3 linked regions of the Ovis aries genome follow. The protein of the gene in region 2 interacts with the protein of the main gene of each other region in a pairwise test. Links are inferred from orthologs where the notes say so. Each region holds a gene or a part of one and is shown on either strand. Other genes may lie near its edges. The genes, in order: RPLP0, CCNDBP1 and SYF2.

The links.
Region 1: the proteins of CCNDBP1 (region 2) and RPLP0 interact in binary tests that used the Homo sapiens proteins (3 or more experiments, as listed by UniProt). The link is inferred for Ovis aries from reciprocal best matches to the Homo sapiens genes CCNDBP1 and RPLP0.
Region 3: the proteins of CCNDBP1 (region 2) and SYF2 interact in binary tests that used the Homo sapiens proteins (3 or more experiments, as listed by UniProt). The link is inferred for Ovis aries from reciprocal best matches to the Homo sapiens genes CCNDBP1 and SYF2.

Annotation. Positions count from the first base shown.
Region 1 is NC_056070.1:62,696,229-62,702,913, forward strand, and holds the start of RPLP0 (large ribosomal subunit protein uL10), read right to left. Parts: upstream 3,799-6,685; 5' UTR 3,773-3,798; intron 3,510-3,772; 5' UTR 3,462-3,509; coding exon 3,408-3,461; intron 2,449-3,407; coding exon 2,273-2,448; intron 2,175-2,272; coding exon 2,087-2,174; intron 1,953-2,086; coding exon 1,806-1,952; intron 1,699-1,805; coding exon 1,513-1,698; intron 668-1,512; coding exon 527-667; intron 1-526.
Region 2 is NC_056060.1:36,637,828-36,644,512, reverse strand, and holds the start of CCNDBP1 (cyclin-D1-binding protein 1), read right to left. Parts: upstream 3,991-6,685; 5' UTR 3,942-3,990; coding exon 3,833-3,941; intron 3,660-3,832; coding exon 3,600-3,659; intron 3,315-3,599; coding exon 3,235-3,314; intron 1,477-3,234; coding exon 1,395-1,476; intron 407-1,394; coding exon 310-406; intron 136-309; coding exon 65-135; intron 1-64. Other genes in the region: TMEM62 (transmembrane protein 62), read right to left, coding at 4,662-4,988. UniProt on the Homo sapiens protein: May negatively regulate cell cycle progression. May act at least in part via inhibition of the cyclin-D1/CDK4 complex, thereby preventing phosphorylation of RB1 and blocking E2F-dependent transcription.
Region 3 is NC_056055.1:241,468,624-241,474,505, forward strand, and holds the end of SYF2 (pre-mRNA-splicing factor SYF2), read left to right. Parts: intron 1-214; coding exon 215-340; intron 341-746; coding exon 747-864; intron 865-1,178; coding exon 1,179-1,269; intron 1,270-2,537; coding exon 2,538-2,636; intron 2,637-3,422; coding exon 3,423-3,588; 3' UTR 3,589-3,736; downstream 3,737-5,882. UniProt on the Homo sapiens protein: Involved in pre-mRNA splicing as component of the spliceosome.

The sequences.
Region 1 (6,685 bases), on a different chromosome or scaffold from region 2:
CAAAGGGTCATCTTAGCACCCCTACTACCCACAGCCCTTTGGCCTCCGCAGAGCTCCGGATTCAAGGGCCCACTTCCTTGTCAGTGAAGCCTTCCTCTGAAGTAACCAGGCAGGACAGCTTGGGTATAAGCCTGGTGAGCTCAGGCCCGGCTCTTACCCATTAAACTATCCCTGCTTTAAATCTCATATAATTTCTAAAATCGAGAACACATCTCCTCTGCCTCCCAACTTCAAGTAGACAATTGGCGCTCTGTAGCCAAAGGTTTCACACTTAAAAGACCGAACCAACTGTGGATCAAAACTCAAAAAAAAGGGTGGGGGGGGAATGTCCAAAATGCAAAACTTGAATTTGCTATATTGTAGCAATTATTTACACTCAAGTTACATCGTATTTATAACCATTTACGTAACATTCAAACTAGATTAGGTATCCTAAGTAACCTAGAAATGATATAACCTAACTAACACCATTTTATGACAGACTTGAGCACTCATGGATTTTGGTATCCTAGTGGGTTCTTTGTACCTTTTCAGCAAGTGGGAAGGTGTAATCAGTCTCCACAGACAAAGCCAGGACACGCTTGTACCCATTGATGATAGAATGGGGTACAGATGCAACAGTCGGGTAACCAATCTGCAGGCACACACTGGCAACATTGCGGACACCCTGTGGAAGGGAGGAAACAGTCCTTTCAGTCTCAGGCGTGACATTCCTTTAGGTCTCAGGTGTGGTGTCTTAAAAGACAGTGAAGCGGAGCTCAACAGCACATGCGATTTGCTCAGTACCTCAGTCTCACACAGGACGCTTCACCTCACACCAGATGCTTCTGGCAGTGAAATTCAGACCCAGTTTAATTTACAAATGCTTTTTGCCCTTATTCTCCACAAGGGTGTTCCCTATACCATAACGATGGTATTTACTTCAAAAGCCACCGTTTTGTAAAATCATATACTCATGGCATTCTGAGAAAAACGTCAGTTCCAGGTGTGAATTTCATCCACTACGGAGATTTCCAAAAGTAACCAGAGTTAAGAGTATATGTAATTACAATTGTCTATCTGTCAAAAAAACAAGAATTATATATCGCATCACTTTGTTAAGGGGAGGTATTAGTGGCAAAAACTAAACAAGATGAAGGATGGACTGAGAGTCCATTCTCCCAAGATAGTAGGGTACTTGGCAACACTTGTGTATTAATTACCTCATTTTCGTTATCCCTCTTTTGACTCACTGACACTCAAAATCTCACATCTTTTTGCAGGTCCTAAAATGACAGCCCTTACTGTGTACCCAGCACTGTTTCAAGGCCTTACACTCATTAATTCATTAGCTCCTTCAACAATCCTAAATTGTCATTGCTGTTCTAAGGATGAGGAAACTGAGATACAGACTGAACAACTATTCCTGGTTATTAACCTGCTAGTCAGCTGCATTGCCAAGATGCAGCTGAAGCCAGATGCGCTCTCAACTACTAATGAGAAAGGAAGGGCCTGGAATGGGCCCTCGGGTACCTCCAGGAAGCGGGAATGCAGAGTTTCCTCTGTGATGTCAAGCACTTCGGGGTTGTAGATGCTGCCATTGTCAAACACCTGCTGGATGACCAGCCCGAAGGAGAAGGGGGAGATGTTCAGCATGTTCAGCAGCGTGGCTTCGCTGGCGCCCACCTTGTCTCCGGTCTTAATCAGCTGCACATCGCTCTGAAGAGCAAGGAAGTTGGCAGTTAACCCCTGGACGTCCGGCAGGTCCGAGGCCACCGAGCCCCCACCGCTGGCGCAGCTAGTACTGGCAAGCCAGGTCCACTCACCAGGATTTCAATTGTGCCCCTGGAGATCTTAGTGGTGATGCCTAAAGCCTGGAAGAAGGATGTCTTCTCGGGCCCCAGACCAGTGTTCTGGGCTGGCACAGTGACTTCGCACGGCGCTATGGCACCAGCACGGGCGGCAGCCGGCACCTGAGCAAATGTGGGAAAAAAGTGAACAGTGAGATGTCTTCTCTCCAGACACAACCTGAGATCGGTCAGTTTTATTGCTTTTTAGGAACCAAACTAATGATAAGGTCTCTCCAGTCAACCTGATTCTCCCTTACCTTATTGGCCAGCAGCATGTCCCTGATCTCAGTGAGGTCCTCCTTGGTGAACACGAAGCCCACATTTCCCCGGATGTGAGGCAACAGTCTGCAAAGAGAAGTTTACAGGAGAAGGTCACTTTGTAGCTCCGTTCCTCTCCAGGAAGAGGGAGGAGGGCACTGAGAAGGGAGGATAAAGACACCAACTTCTCCAGAGCCGGGTTGTTTTCCAGATGCCCTCGGATGGCCTTGCGCATCATCGTGTTCTTGCCCATCAGCACCACAGCCTTCCCGCGCAGCGACATGCGGATCTGCTGCATCTGCTTGGAGCCCACATTGTCTGCTCCCACAATGAAGCATTTTGGATAATCATCCAGAAGTTGCTACAGAAACAAGCCGAAAACAAGCCGTGTTTCACAGGAGGAAAGAGGGAAACGGTTAAGAGAAACCAAATCCCGCAATCACCAGCTTCCATCTCACTCCCTTTCCTCTAAGCTTTTGAAATGACAGAGATTGGGACAGTGCCTCCTCCTATAGGCCACCTGAGTTAACACCAGTTTTGTCAAAGATTTGCGTGTTGAGTATAAACAGTAACTGTTTCTACAGTAAATTAAACAAATACTTGTAATTATAACTTTTGCTCTTTCCCCAATTACGAGGCATGTTTGATTCGCTAAATGACTGCCTTAACCAAAAAAAAAAAAAATACTGGTCCAGGTAAAGTCAGATTTACAGCAATCAAAATATAACATAAAGGAAGTATGTCAAAATAGTAACTTGTAGGACCTAGGTTGTGTGTATATAATCATTTTACAAAGTTTTCTGTTAAACTGAAAACCTGCATGATAAATGAGGAAGAACGCAAAAAACTAAACTCCACAACGCATCCTAAGGCTTGAAGAGCAGCGTGATTAGCATTTCTGGCCAGGCAAGACCCAACTCAAGGCCATCTAAATTAAAGAACTCACATAGTTTCTTGACTGACAGGCTCTAAATAGGCAACAACTTGCCCCATTATAATGAGTCACTCATAGCCTCAGACTTTCTCAAAGATGCAGACAGGACAAGAAAATTAGAACGAGTGCTACTTGAACCTAGACAGACTTGGGCTTGAATGTTCTTTACCTTAAGAGCCACTTCACCTGCCTGAGTCTGTTCATCTGCAACACTGGGAGGGGGAAGGGCATGGATCTCGGGAAATTGTAAAAATTAAATGAAATGTGCCTAAAATGACCTAATATAGCAGCTAGCAAGCAGGCGCTCAGCACACGGCAGCTGACCGTCCCCACCAGTGCCCGGGCCCGGGCAGCACGGTGGGCGGCGGGGCCTGCCCCAAACTTACGATGATCTTAAGGAAGTAGTTGGACTTCCAGGTCGCCCTGTCTTCCCTGGGCATCACGGCGGTGCGTCAGGGATTGCCACGCAGGGTTTAAAGACGATGTCACTGAGGAGAGAAAAGGAGCTCAAGCCACCCCGACACGCGTCCCCACAGCACGGCGGGCTCCAAGCCCAAGGTACACGCGGAGTAGGCCACGCGCGGGCGCCCGCCGCCCCGAGCCAGGGCTGCACCTGTCGCGGCGGCCGCCGCCGCACCCCCAAACCAAAGAGGCCGGACCCCGCGGTCCCCAAGAGCCTCCAAAAGAACCCCCAAAGACCCCCATTCTTCCCGCCACAGTTGCCGGTGCGAACGCAGCGAGACGGACGAACCTCACACGAGGACGCCTGGCGAGAGGAGGGCCGCGCGCCGGCGGGCATCTTTTATAGATGAGCGAAGCAGCCAATCAGAAGCCACAGGCAGAGCCCCCCGCCTATTGGCTGGTGCCAACGCCATTCTGAAGAAATCGGATAGATGCAGGCAGCCATTGGGTAGCATCCCTGCCACTCCAACCAACAGGAAGCTGCTTTTAAACGAGGTCGTTAAGGAGGACACTGCTGGGTGCTGGAGGCGCTTTCTCAGAGCTGCTGCCCTCTGCCGGGTGGGAGGCGCCGCCAGGTAGAGTTAGTGTTTGCAAGCTGAGTTCACGTTTCCTTTGGTCACCAGGCCAAGTCGCAACTACAGAGTATGACGTTGAGAAAGAACTCTCATGCTTTAGAAACAGGATGGTCTCTCGTCTCCTCTACAGTTTGTTCTTCCCCCTATCGAAACAAAGGGATCCTTTAAACCTAAGTCGGATCACTTCCTCATCTGCTCGCAATACTTTCGAGTCTCCCCATTTCCCTCCCAGAAAAAAACCTAAAACGTAAATGAGGCTACCTACAAGGCTCTACATGATCTGGTCCCCACCTCCACCCCATCATCTCATCTCCGATTTGCCTACTGACTCATTTCCTCCCAGCTGGGTGACGCTCCCATTTCAGGGCTCATGCACTGTCTATTCCCTCTTCCTAGAAGGCTTCCTGCCCATATCCACACCTCCGTTGCGTCTTGGCTCAATGATCACCTGCTGGAGGCCTACCCCCATCGCCCTATTCAAGATTACCCCCAAAACCACTCCAACTTCCCTCTTCCTCCGGTTTAACTTTTTGGTAGCACTTCCACCTAGTAACACACTAAATCACTAAAATAATTTGTCTCTCTCTCTGCCGTGAGCCTGGCACCTATGGGCATATAATAAACATTTGTTGAATGAATGGATGTAGAGTTTGCAGTCAGATAACCTGAATTCATATCCTTATTCTGTCACTTGCTAGGTTGGTCATCTTAGGAAGTGATTTCACCTTGCTGACCCTCTCTTTTCCTGTCTGTAAAATGAGGATAGTAGTATTCACACCCCATGAGGATTACGTGAGTTATGTGTTAACACAGTCCCTGGAATGTAGGAGGAAATCACTTAATGTCAACATATTTTATTACACTTTCATTCAACATTTATTTGAACAATTGTGCTATATCATTAAATATGTTTTTAATGAATAAGCTTAGAGCCTAGGGTGGGAAGGGGAGGGTGGTTCTCCCCAACTCCATCCTTTTAACTTGACCAAGTTAGAAACCCTGGTATTTTGTTTTCAAGCCTCCTGATGATGAGCCTGTATAGACAACTGCTGGAGTCCATTACTGCTAAGATCTCTTTTTAGTGACAGGGTATTACTGCATGCTCAGCATTGTACTAAGTACTTTATGCACATTACTGCTGTTCATCTGTGCAACAAACCCCCAAGGAGATACAGTATTAGTACCATTTTACTGGTAAGAAAATTCGCAGAGGTTAAGTAATTCACCCAAGTACCTCAGCTAGTAAGTGATGGCTTCAGAACCAAAACCTAAAAGCAAGTTCAAAGCCCATGAGTCTCACTATGCTATACAGTCCCTTCCAAACCCTAAGGCTGTCTTCCTTCAAATGCACTTTTGCAAGGATGTACATACTGACATATCAACTCCGCAAGGACATCCTGCCTCTGATGATATTGTCTCTAACTGTAGTACATCAATATAATGGAATACCGTGAAGGCATTAAAAAATGCCCATCTCTATTTATTGACATGGGAAAACATAAAGTACAGTTGAGTGAGCCAGTTACAATGAAGTGGACCTGTTCATTCACGTAAGCCCAACATGAGCTGGAAATATGATTTTTGGGTGAGGGTTGAAGGTAATTTTCACTTCTGAGCTCAATACGGAATGGTCAGGGTTCAGACTTGAAATCGACATGCGGCTTTTGGAGAACCATTCCAAACAACAGGGAGACTGCAAAGCTGCAAAACTGTCCCGGAAGCTCGCAAAGGCCCAGGACTGGAGTTACGGCTCTGACAACGCCGAGGAAGCATGCATGCAAATACAGATATGACCACCAGGGGGCAGTCGAGACCCATCATCGACTATTAAGTCAGTGCAGTTCAGTCGCTCAGTCGTGTCCGACTCTCTGCGACCCCATGGACTGCAGCACGCCAGGCCTCCCTGTCCATCACCAACTCCCAGAGTTTACTCAAACTCATGTCCATTGCGTCGATGATGCCATCCAACCATCTCATCCTCTGTCGTCCCCTTCTCCTCCTGCCCTCAATCTTTCCCAGCATCAGGGTCTTTTCAAATGAGTCAGTTCTTTGCATCAGGTGGCCAAAGTATTGGAGTTTCAGCTTCAGCATCAATCCTTCCAATGAATATTCAGGACTGATTTCCTTTAGGATGGACAGGTTGGATCTCCTTGCAGTCCAAGGGACTCTCAAGAGTCTTCTCCAACACCACAGTTCAACAGCATCAATTCTTCAGTGCTCAGCTTTCTTTATAGTCCAACTCTCAACAAGGAAGGTTCTACACCCAAGGTATCGTGCCAGAACTAGGGGGCAGTGGTGGTGTGTCTGGTCAACATAAGAACAGAGACAAGCCCTGGGTTCACAGCCTGTCTCTGTGCTCGTTCACAGGATATCGGCTCTCTCTGAACCTCCTTCCCATCCGTGAGTGGAAGGCCACACCCCCACGCCCATGGGAGGCAACCCATGGCAAATTGCAGTGGGTAAGAAAGCCAGGAGGCCCACAAGTGCCCCATGAGGGCTTTGGCCTCAGGTAAGAGAACTGCAGTGACTGACCCTCAAACTGTGGTGCTTATGAGCCTGGGGAGGGTTTGGTCTCTCTTCTGGGGCTGAGCTGTTCATCTCGGACCACAAAGAAATGGCACTAGCAC
Region 2 (6,685 bases):
GCTGGACGTGAGGTCTGTCAGCTTTGGCCAGCAGAGTCAATGTCTACTTTCTATTCTCACTCACCTTTTGGGATCTGAGGTATATGTTGGCAAGCATCCCAGACACTGTTGTAGGGAATCAGGTTCTCAGGGTTGCTGAAACGAATCAATAAGGATGTATCAATAACCTGGGTTCCTGTTTCCTACAAAGGTCCTTCCTGCTGGTCATTAATCTCAGTTATCAGTAACTTTGCTGTTAAAATGACTTTCCCCCGCCTCCCAGAAACAAAGAACCCCATTACCCAATAACTCCAGCTGTGGCATCACTACCTCTGAGCTGGATTGATGTAAAGTGCTTCCACAAGCTGAGCCATGTCATCCACGATGTCCAGAGTGGCGCTCCGCACCAGCTTTCGCAGGGTGATGCCTATAGCCAGACCCAAAGACTAATTAAGCAGCCTGTCTGTCTTTCCAGAAGTCTGGAAAGTCTTCCTGAGAATCTAAGCCCTACAGAATTTGAGGTAATGTGCACCCACATGCTTTAACCAGAGTGCCAACACAGAACCCAGGTCTTATGTATATCCCCATGTCATTTGCTTGCTCCTCCCACCATTCCTTAGTGGTATTTTCCAAAAGAGATCTGAAACAAAACTGTTCCATGACAGCATATATTCATTCATTAAAAAGTAGTTTCTTGGGACTTTCCTGGTGGTCCAGTGGCTAAGACTCTACGCTGCCAATGCAGGGGCCAGGGTTCAATCTCTGGTCAGGGAACTAGATCCTACATGCCACAACTCAGAGTTCACATGCTGCAACTAAAGACCCTACATGCCATAACAAGGACTGAAGAGCACGCCTGCCGCAACCAAGACCTGGCACAGCCACATAAATAAAATAATACACATTTTTAAAAACAGTGATTTCCTGGCATTTGTGGATAAAACACTTCAAGTTTAAACCACATGAGTAACCCTGAAGATCCATGAGACATGTATTCATTTCTAATTGTAACCTGATAATAATCAAGACACGAAGATGCAGGCAGAGCTGGAGGCCACTTAACCTATAAGGGAGCTCAGAAACAGCATGTGATGAGGCGAAGAAGCCTGGGGATGGCACTGATAACCAAGCAGTATCTGTGGTGATTATAATGCATTAGAGACGGAGAAGCCAGTGAGAATTAAAAATATTAAGAGTCAAGTAAGGCAGGGGACATGAGAACACAGTATCTGAACTTTAGCACAAAGGCTTACTTATGGAGGTCACTTATATAACTACCTTTGACTGCACTTAATGGGAGAAAGTTACATTACATGATCAAATTGAGGAAAAGGTAAAATTCTCAGGACATAAGCTGTCACAATAGCAAAGATCTACCCCATAAACTGAACACTTATGTGTATGGAGTGGCTTACCCTGATCCTTGGGAAACAAATAGTACACTGCAATAATTGCCTTGATGGCAGCACGCACTTGTTCACAGAACCTCTGCGTTTCCTAGGAGATGATAAGCCAATTTCAGAAAGAAAAAAAGAAATGGATTAGATTGATGTGGTCAAGCCATCTACAGGGGAAAAGAGCAGACATCTGTACAGCATCATCAAACATTTTCTGAAGTCCTATTATGCATCAGGCTGTGCTGTTCTCATCACATACCAGGGAGGAGTTAGCTGGATACCAAGTACTGAGCAGAAACTCAGTAAGACAAGAAGAAACTGTAGGAAAAACATCCCTGATACTCTATATCCCAAGATATCTGTGATCAGCTTTGAGGTATTCACCATATCTTAGACCAGGAGTTGGCAAACTAGAGCCCAAGGGCCCAATCAGGCTCACTGCCCGTTTTTGCAAATAAAATGTTTCTAGGACACAGCCACACTCATGCGTTTACAAATTGTCTATAATAGTATTCACACTACAGAGGCAGAGTGGAGTAGCTGGACTGCAAAGCCTAAAATGTTTACTATTTGGCCTTTGACAGAAAAGTTGTCAGCTCTATCTTAGACCATTAACCAGTTGTCTATCTCTCTGCCTCTGTCTCTAACAGAATTTCAGTATACCTAAAGGAAATTAGCATGGACTCTACAATGCTCAATGCTGACTATTTTCCTTCTAGGCAGTCACTGGCTTTCCCTTATCTTCCTTGTCCTCACTGCTCTGCTAAATTCCAAGCCAGTGCTATGCAAAATGTGGTCTACAGATGGTGCCAGTCCATAAATGATCTGTCACCAGTCTGAGATGGATAGGTACAAAGATTGAGAGTACTCAGAAACTTTTACACCAATGTGACATTGTTTCAACATCCAAACATATAATTTTGTAAAAATACCACGTTGTAAGGACTGGAATCAAAAAAAAAAAAAAAATTCTTTGGCAGAATTAATGTGCTGAGATCCTAAGAAAGCAACTGTGATTCAAATATATATAATTCATATAAAGCCATATTTTAATTTTTCATCTACGAATGAAAAAACCACTGTCCTGAGCATGTACAGGGTAATCAAATTGACAAAAATTAAAGACAAAGATAAAATATTAAAAGCAACAAGGGAAAAGTGACAAATAACATACAAGAGAACTCCCATAAGGTTACCAGCTGATTTCTCAACAGAAACTATTATCACTTGTGTAAAAAGCAGCAGCCATATGCACTTAAGTGTGAATATGCATAGCATATATATGGAATGATACAAAAGGAACCAAAGACAGGAGATATAAGCTTTTTAGCACATTTAACTTTGATATCTTTTGAACCTTATACTGTCTACATTATTATATATAAATATAATAATATATAATATATATAATAGCATAAAAATAATTCAGTACAAAAGAGTATTATGTAGTATAATAGAAAAGGTGGAGCTCAAACATCAGATAGAACCTAATTTAAGTCCTAGCTCCACTACTTATCTACCTTAAACTGAGCCTCTGAGCCTGCCTGTTCATCTGTCAGAAAAGGATCATGTATGTGAAAACACTTAGCAAATAGAAAGTATATTTTAAAATGCCAGAAAGGAAATAACCAGGATGGACCTCAGAATGAACCAATATTTAGAAGAGCCATCTACCCCATGACAACTACTGCATTTGACAATTTGATCTTCAGAACAATCCTGTGGAGTGAGAACCTTCACCTTACTCGACAGATGAGGAAATTAAATCCCCAGATTTGAGTGTAAAAGGTGGAAAGAAAATGAGAGGCTTCTTAAGGAATACTGAGCAGCACAAGAATCCTAGAAAAGTGAAGCCCACCTGTGGAGACGGCAGCGGAAGTCGAGAGAAGGCTACGGTCAGAGTCGTGGCTTCCCTTGACACTGTCACAGCTGCCTCATCTGGGGGAGTGACAGAGCAGGCGGCAAGAGCCAATATGTTAGTGCCAAAAGGAAAAGGCTGCAACGGCTGCACGGACCTTGAAGATAATGCGTTCCCTCTCCACCCATGCCCGCTGAGACGTCTCAAAAACACCTCCAAAAATCAGTGTTTTATATTTCAACCTCGGAGATACCAAGGATAGGTAAGGAGTATCCCCGCAGAGAGGCTGGGGCGGGGGGGAAGCAGGAAGGAAAGGAGTAGGGAAGAGATGAGAGACAGCAGTCTCCAATAGGAGAGGCACTCACTGAGTCTTCTCCAAAAGGCCTCCCGATCAAACTCCTTGGTGGTTTCCTGGGCTTCGCCGACTAGTGGGTGCGGGGTGTGCGCCGGACGGCGACAAACGAAAGAGCACAGGTAAGCGGAACGACCTCCCGGACCCACCTCCTCTGCCCGGACCCGGCGCCGCGGCCGCCAAGGCCTGGCTCCTTCCCACCCAAGCCCGCCCCTGCGGTCACCCGGCCTCACTAAGTCAGCTCACCCCGCACTCCAGGAAGCAACTGCCGCAGCTCCCCGGCTAGGTGCCGAAGCTGTTCCAGAGGCGGATCCAGGGTGGGGTCTGGGGCTGCAGATACAGCTGCGCTCTCCATCCCAGTACCGCGTTTGGAGCCAGCGGACCAAGCCCCCACAACAGCTTCCGGAGCCGCACCGCTGTCGCAGCTCCTCTTCCAGGCCACGGTTTCGCTTCCGGCAACAACCTGCCCCGCCTCGGAAGCCCAGCCACACCCCTTCCGCTCTCAAAAGCCCCGCCTCGCTCCCGCTCCTAGCGACACAGGCAAGACCCAGACCGAGTTGTTTCTTATTCATTTATTGGTATTTGATTAGTTGAAAACACCCCCGACTGAGGAAGCAGAGAGCCCATAATCCTGTCGAAAAAAGGACTAGGAACTAAACAAGGGTAGTCAGGGTCAGGTCCAAGTTTGCACGTTCCCTGTCCCTAAAGTGGCCTCCTTACAGGCTGCCAAGTTCCAGACACTGTGCTAGGTACTTTACATGAGGTATCTAAAAAACACACTGAGTGGGCCTCAGATACTCCCTTATCCACCAGCCCCTGCCCTGTGGATCTCCTAGATAAAAGCTTTCTCTTCACAAAAGTAAATCAACCCTTTACCTTCTTGAGGAAGGGAGGAATCACGGCATTATATAGTTTTCTGCAGTCCATTCTGCAAGAATCAGTAGTAGGTAATTCCCCCCAACTCCCAGGTGTCCAAGGAACAGCAGCTCCCTGATGTTTGCCCATCAATACTGGCCTTTTACCTGCTGCTGAGGCAGAGGCCTGGGCTACAGAGGTGGATGAGGAGATACAGACTTCAGGAGCTCAAATGGCTTTTTAACTGCACTATGAAGGTTCCAAGCTTAGCAGAGTTCACTGTCCAAACACAACGAATGAGAACAGGTGTCGCCAGTGTCAACCAGGTCCGTAAAGGGGAGAATAAAAAAGCTAGAGTGCCATATGTCACGTGAAGAAAGTAGCAGGAATAAATATGCCAGATGTACAGCAGTAACATAAGTAGGTGAACAGGTATAATTTTCAAGTATTTTCCTTGATGGAGATGAGACCTGAAGCTGTGACCAAAGCACCGCTGCAGCAAAATCCAACACAGGTAACCCATCAAGGGGATGTTAAAAAACACCAGCTGGAAAGAACAGAACAGAACCATTAGCTTATTAAGCCCTGGTGGGGTCAGGTCTCACTAACATATTATTGGTGGCTCCTAAAAATATGTTGCTTGCTCTCTTGGGGGTTAACTGATACTTTATACTTTAATCACACTTGTGTCCTTAGTTGTTTATTTGCCTGCATCCTTTTGTTCATCTTAAAGGCAAGTGTCATTTCATTTCTGTTGAAGCTCTCAAATGTTTAAGGTAGAAATGAATACATATGTCTATGTACAAACACACACACACATACATATATATACAGTACTTTTTTTGGGGGGGTAGCGTGAGGGGGGAACTTGGATATCAATATTTCTTCTTTACTTTGCATTTGTAATTGAAGTAACATAATGAATACTAGAATACAAACTAGAAGATTTAAGATTTATAATTCAACCATAACTACAATATGGATTTTCATTCACCAAATAATTACTGAGCACTCATTATGTGACAGGCACTGTGCAAGGCTGTAGGCAAGGGACACACTGATGAACAAGTCAGAAAAGATGCTTCAGACAGCTTACATTCTAGTACAGAAAAGAGGAAACCCACTCCCCAAAAAAGAGGAGGGGGAAGATAATTACAGATGGTGATAAATTCAATGAAGAAAATAACTGGTTACAGGGCAACGGGAGATGGGCTCTCTGAGGTCTGAAGGACAGAAATGAGTCAGTGGAAGAGCATTCCAGGCAGAAGAACAAATGAAAAGCCCAGAGATGGGCCCATCTCCCGTTACTCTCCTGTTAGCCTGGAACATGATAAGGTAGGTAGAATTTGGGACAGTCAGCAGGACCCAGATCATGTCACTGATCTGCTTTAAGAGTTTTAAGCTGACATTAGGGAGACAAGAGCAACAACAGGAAACCAGTTAGGGGGTTACTGCAGTAGCCCAGGCAAGAAATAATTATTGGGGACTTCCCTGGTTCACTGTAAGAATCCAGCATGCAATGCAGGGGATGTGGGTTTGATCCCCAGTTGGGGAAATAAGATCCCATATGCCGTGAAGCAACTAAGCCCATGCTCTGCAACTACTGAGTGCATGTGCTCCAGAGCCCAGGCACCACAACCAGAGAGCCCAAGTACTGCAAGGAAAGATCCCTCATGATGCAACGAAGATCCTGCATGCTGCAATTAAGACCTGACACAGCCAAATAATTTTTTTTAATAAAGAAACATGATTAGGTAAGAATGGTGGTAACAGTGACAGAGAAAAGACATGTACATTGCTACTTGCTGATGAATTAGATAAAAGTGTGAGGGAAGGGGAAGAACTTAAGATGCATCCTAGATAATTTATTGAAACTGCGAAGAACTTGGGAGAAACAGGTTTGGGGATACAAATGAAAGGTCCTGTTAGAGACATACAAGATTCCTATGAGATATCTAAGGAAGATGCGAAATACTAGTTGTATATACAGGCACCTGAGGTGCAGAGAAGAAGTCTAGGTCAGAAATATAATAGATTTATGAGCTATGGACCTAGATGATACATAAAATCAATTCTTGGTATACTATTTATTAAAATATGACTGTAAACCCACCTTTTGGTAAAGCTCAGATCTTATTTGGAATAAGGATGCTCCTCTCAAAGCTATGGTTTTTCCAGTAGTCATGTATATGTATGTTAGAGTTGGACCATAAAGAAAGCTGAGCACCAAAGAATTGATGCTTG
Region 3 (5,882 bases), on a different chromosome or scaffold from region 2:
AAAGTAGAATATTTTTTTCATAATGTGAGACATTATAACCCCCAGACATCTGGAATAGCACACCAGTACAGCTCAACACATTTCTTGACTGTATACAAATGTAAGACCTTGCTTAAAATCCTTTGATGGTTCTCTGCCTTCCTTAAAGTGGAAAAATTTGTTTGGATTTATTTTTGTGTTTCAGCCAGCAACCTTTTTGTGTTTATGGTTTTAGAATGAAGCTCGTAAATTAAATCACCAGGAAGTTGTTGAAGAAGATAAAAGACTTAAGTTACCTGCGAATTGGGAAGCCAAAAAAGCTCGTTTGGAATGGGAACTACAGGAAGAAGAAAAGAAAAAGGTTAGGAACTGCTCTGCTGTCTTCATAAGTGGTCTGTTCTGTTGTATTGAGATAGTAAAAAAAAGCTCTTTATCAGCTGCAACACTTTGGGCAAATAATTTAATCTCCCTGTGATTGTGTTTTCTCATCTGTAAAATGAGATCTGTAATAATTACTTGAGTTAATTATGAATTAAATGAGTCAGTGCGTTTGGAACATTTAACAGAGGGTCTGACACTGGATAAATGTTGAGTATTATTTTTTAGATTGATGTACTCACTTCTTATTATACAACAGCAGATAACCAAATTTCTCCTTCACATAGTAATGGTTATTTTAAATGTATTGCTTTATATTCACTTAAAATAGTTCAAATAATTGCTTGTATCATAAGGGCAAGCATTAGCTTTTTTCTGCTTCATTTTAGGAATGTGCAGCGAGAGGGGAAGACTATGAGAAAGTGAAGTTGCTAGAAATCAGTGCAGAAGATGCAGAAAGATGGGAGAGAAAAAAGAGGAGGAAAAACCCCGACCTGGGATTTTCAGGTAAGACTGAACTTTATTGAATAGGCCTCTGAGATAAGCATGCCTTCAGTGTTCCTGGTTTTAAGAAAGAATATGCCCCTTCGTGGAATATTCTGTAATACTTATACTCCTAAGAAAAATACAAAATATCATATATGGCAAAAGTGAAAAAGGCTCTACTTGAATCAGCTGGGTTCCTTTATTCAGTGCTAAAATTAAAGCCTGTTTGGTCCGGATCTTCAGGATACAGGCTATGCTAATAATTTTGATTCTTCTCTGAATAGTAATGATCAAATAAAGTAATATATCATTTCCAATTTTCATTTTATTTTTAGATTATGCTGCTGCCCAGCTTCGCCAGTATCATCGGCTGACCAAACAGATCAAACCAGACATGGAAACATATGAGAGACTGAGAGAAAAGCAGTAAGTTGACAGGATTAATGCAAGTCCTGTTTTCATCCTGAAGTGATACTGATGTATTAAAACTCATGTGTACACATAAACATATATACATAAACACACACTGTAGTGCTTAGCTATGGATTATCAGTAGCTGGGGGTTTTTTGTTGTTGCTGTGTTTTGGCTGTGCGGGGTCTTTGTTGTGTGTGGGCTTTCTCTGGCTACAGCAAGTGGGAGCTCCTCTCCACTGAAGCTCCTTTGCATTGCAGTGTGTGGGCTTCTCACTGTGGTGGCTTCCCTTGTGGATCACGGGCTCTAGGCGCACAGGCTTCATTAGCTGCAATACTCAGGCTTAGTAGTTGCAGCACATGGGCCCTAGAGCATCTGCGCTTCAGTAGTTACGGGGCACGGGGTTAGTTGCTCCGTGGCATGTGGACTCTCCCTGGACCAGGGATCACACCTGTGTCCCCTGTTTTGGCAGGTAGATTTTTAACCGCTGGAACACCAGAGAAATGCTCAACAACTGTATAAGGATAGTTTCAGGTCTTGATGCTGTTTACTTACTGCTCGTCCACAGCAGTTAAGCTGACCACATGATTATCTTTCTAGCTGGGCATTCTGCAGCTGGGTGTTGAGAGATCATCGTAGTTACTCATATTTTGGGACATAGAATGCTTTAGTGCCAGGATAGGTGAACTGCTGTAAAGGACCAGAGAGTGAATATTTTAGGCTTATAGGCTATCTGGGCTCTGTCACAACTACTCCACTCTGCCCTTGTGATGTTAAAGCACCCATAGAGTAGGCATTGGAGAAGGAAATGGCAGCCCTCTCCAGTGTTCTTGCCTGGAGAATCCCAGGGATGGCGGAGCCTGGTGGCTACCGTCTATGGGGTCGCACAGAGTTGGACACGACTGAAGCGACTTAGCAGCAGCAGCAGAGTAGTCATAGATAGATGGGTGGGCTGTGTCCCAGTAAAACTATTTCTATAAACAAGAGGCTGTAATTTGCTGGGCTGCTATAGTGGAAAGAGAACCTGAGGCTGGAAGCAAGTCTTTAACCTCTGACCCTTGGCTCTTTCGTCTGTAGAATGAAGGTGTTGAACTAGGTGATTTCTTAACTTTCATCCTTTACAATTCTGTATTCTCTTTTCTCTTGTTTTTTAAAAAAAGAAGAGCTAGGATCCCACAGTAAAGACATTTATGTATTTTATCTCTCTTCATGAATGGTAGTTTCGTTTGAAAATATGGAGCACTTGCAGTGTTACTCCAAGTCCATGTTGCTGTCTTTTCAGTGGAGAAGAGTTTTTCCCAACGTCCAACAGTCTTCTTCATGGGACACATGTGCCTTCCACAGAGGAAATTGACAGGATGGTCCTAGACCTCGAAAAACAGTGAGTACACCATACAGCAGCCATTTCATTAAATGTTGCGTGACAGAATGGACATAACGTGCCTAGAATGAATTAAGATAGATGTTCTACTCGCTCACTTCTGACCTTGCATCTCTAGTGGTTTTGGGGACAGAGAGCAAGTATGAATTGAATCCATTTGCTTTGGAATGAAGATGTAAAATATTGATGGCATTGAGTTATTATAATTGAAAATTAGAAATAAAATTATTCTCTTTAAAGCACTTATTCTTACTTCTACTTTAACAACCATGGCACTCTTTGATTTAAAGAAGTATAAGTGTTCTAGTAAACTTACCTAAGTATATTTGTGCTTCCTAATACTGATAGGGTCGTTCTTCCTGATATTGATCAGGCAGAGCGAAATGAATTTAGTTTATAGGAGCTCATACACTTCAGTATTAAGATTAGTGTCTAGTATATACTGTATACTCTGTTCATATTAGCTGTGGCTATTAATATAATAATTATATTTATTATAATTAATATAATTACTGTTGTAGTCATTTCCTTTACTTCATGTATCCGGTTCCTGGCAGTGTATCATTGTTCTTTTAGAAGCATTCTGAAGATTTGTTTGTATTTACTGAATTTCATGGTTCATACCCAGGGATATGCTGTTAATTGGCAGTTTCAACTTCATCTTGATGAAAACTGGGCTCCCCCCACCCCAAAGTGTGCTAGTTTAAGTGTACTGATTTTTTTTTTTGACATGTTTTATTAATACTAAAAAGGAAAGCAGTTTTGAAATTTTTCTTCTTCTCCCAGAATTGAAAAACGAGACAAATATAGCCGGAGACGCCCTTATAATGATGATGCAGATATTGACTACATTAATGAAAGGAATGCTAAATTCAACAAGAAGGCAGAAAGATTCTATGGGAAATATACAGCTGAAATTAAGCAGAATTTGGAGAGAGGAACAGCCGTCTAATCCCATCAGGAACTGTTTGGAAGCTTGAGAATAGAGTGAAAATTTCTGCTAGCAAATTGAAGTTCTCTTCAGAGTTGTACTGTAAACTAGAACGCTGTTTGTGCCCTCCCACCCAGCATTTAAAAATAAATGTTTTTTCTTAAATGTATACTTCATATATATTTCCACATTTTTTGTGCTTGGATATAAGATATATTTCTTGTAATGTACTTGTTTTGTAAAAATCGACTTTGTATAAATTCTGTTATTTTTCTATGTATTTTAAATGTGTATGACTTGAATCTTTGAAGCATTTTGGGTTTAAGGAATGCTGGTAGCGTATGTAAATGCAGTCCTTGTTACTTTGAGTATTTCAGTGAATTTGATAAAATCTAGAACTGGACTCGGGAACCATGTGGGGTTGTGGACTCCATAGCTAAGGATGGTGATGAGATGACAGTGGCTACTGGAGGGCAGGAGCAGGCTGTCTCCATAGAGGGCTGCTTAGGACCAAGTTCAGGAAGTAGAATTGTCCTCCCGTAAACAGTGAGCAGGTGTAGTTCCCTTTTGAAAAGGCGCTATCCTGTGGAAGAGAATCTCTACCAAGCACTGTATCGTTTAAAACAGGTATATGGGGACTTCCCTGGTGGTCCAGTGGTTGAGAGTCCACCTTCCTGGGTTTAATCCCTTCTTGGGGAACTAAGATCCCACATTCTCAATTGCTTCAGTCATGTCCGACTCAGACCCTATGGACTGTAGCCTGCGAGTCTCCTATGTCCATGGGATTTTCCAGGTGAAAACACTGGAATGGGTTGCCATTTCCTTTTCCAAGATCTACATGCCATGGGGCAGCTAAGCCCATGCCCTGCAGCTCGAGAGACCCACACGCCTCAGCAAAGACTCAGCACAGCCAATAAATAAAATGAATATTTGTATTTATACATTTATATTTACGCAAATATACACACACGTGCTTCCATTGCAAACATGGTCAAAATAATCCAATGAGTCCTATAATCAGTGCCTGTCTTTAATAATTATCAACTTATGCCAATATTTGTTTCATCTTCATTTCTATCCACTTTCTATAGCTCATGTTATTTTGAAGCAAATACTAAATGTATAATTTTATCTATAAATATTTCACTATGTATCTGAAAGATAAGACTACAATGCTATTATCACAATAATAGTCCTATTTTAATAAAACTAAAGAGTGAAAAGATTGGTATAATTTTTTCAATGTGTTGATAAAAATGCTAAGTATCTAATTAGGACATTCCAAATTAAAAACCTGAAACTCAAGAAAATTTCACAAAAACTTCAGCTTTAGTATTTATAATTAATAACCACTGATGATTATTCCCTTTTAAAATTTATGTAGTACTTTCCATGTCTGCTCTTATTTTATCTTCTAGCATTTAATCTACGTGCAGTTAGGTCTGACCACAGCTTGGATGCTACCTCTGAAAATAAATATATCTTAATAAGTACGTTTTTTATTGAAGTATAGTTGACATAATGTTTCAGATGCAGAGCAAGATGATTGAGTTTTACACATTTTTTTGAAATTATTTTCCAGTATAGGTTATTCAATTCAGTTGCTCAGTTGTGTCTGACTTTGCAACCCCATGAATTGCAGCATGCCAGGCCTCCCTATCACCAACTCCCGGAATTCCCTCAGACTCATGTCCATCGAGTCCGTGATGCCATCCAGCCATCTCATCCTCTTTTGCCTGCTTCTCCTGCCGCCAATCCCTCTCAGCATCAGAGCCTTTTCCAGTGAGTGAACTCTTCACATGAGGTGGCCAAAGGACTGGAGTTTCAGCACCAGCATCATTCCTTCCAAAGAACACCCAGGACTGATCTTTAGAATGGACTGGTTGGATCTCCTTGCAGTCCAAGGGACTCTCAAGTCTTCTCCAACACCACAGTTCAAAAGCATCAATTCTTCGGCTCACAGCTTTCTTCACAGTCCAACTTTCACATCCGTGCATGACCACTGGAAAAATTTTGGATTTTTGAGCCCCCCAAAATAAGTCTGACACTGTTTCTACTATTTCCCCATCTATTTCCCATGAAGTCATGGGACCAGATGCCATGATCTTAGCTTTCTGAATGTTGAGTTTTAAGCCAGCTTTTTCACTCTTCTCTTTCACTTTCATCAAGAGGCTTTTTAGTTCCTCTTCACTTTCTGCCGTAAGGGTGGTGTCATCTGCATATCTGAGGTTATTGATATTTCTTCTGGCAATCTTGATTCCAGCTTGTGCTTCTTCCAGTCCAGCGTTTCTCATGATGTACTCTGCATATAAGTT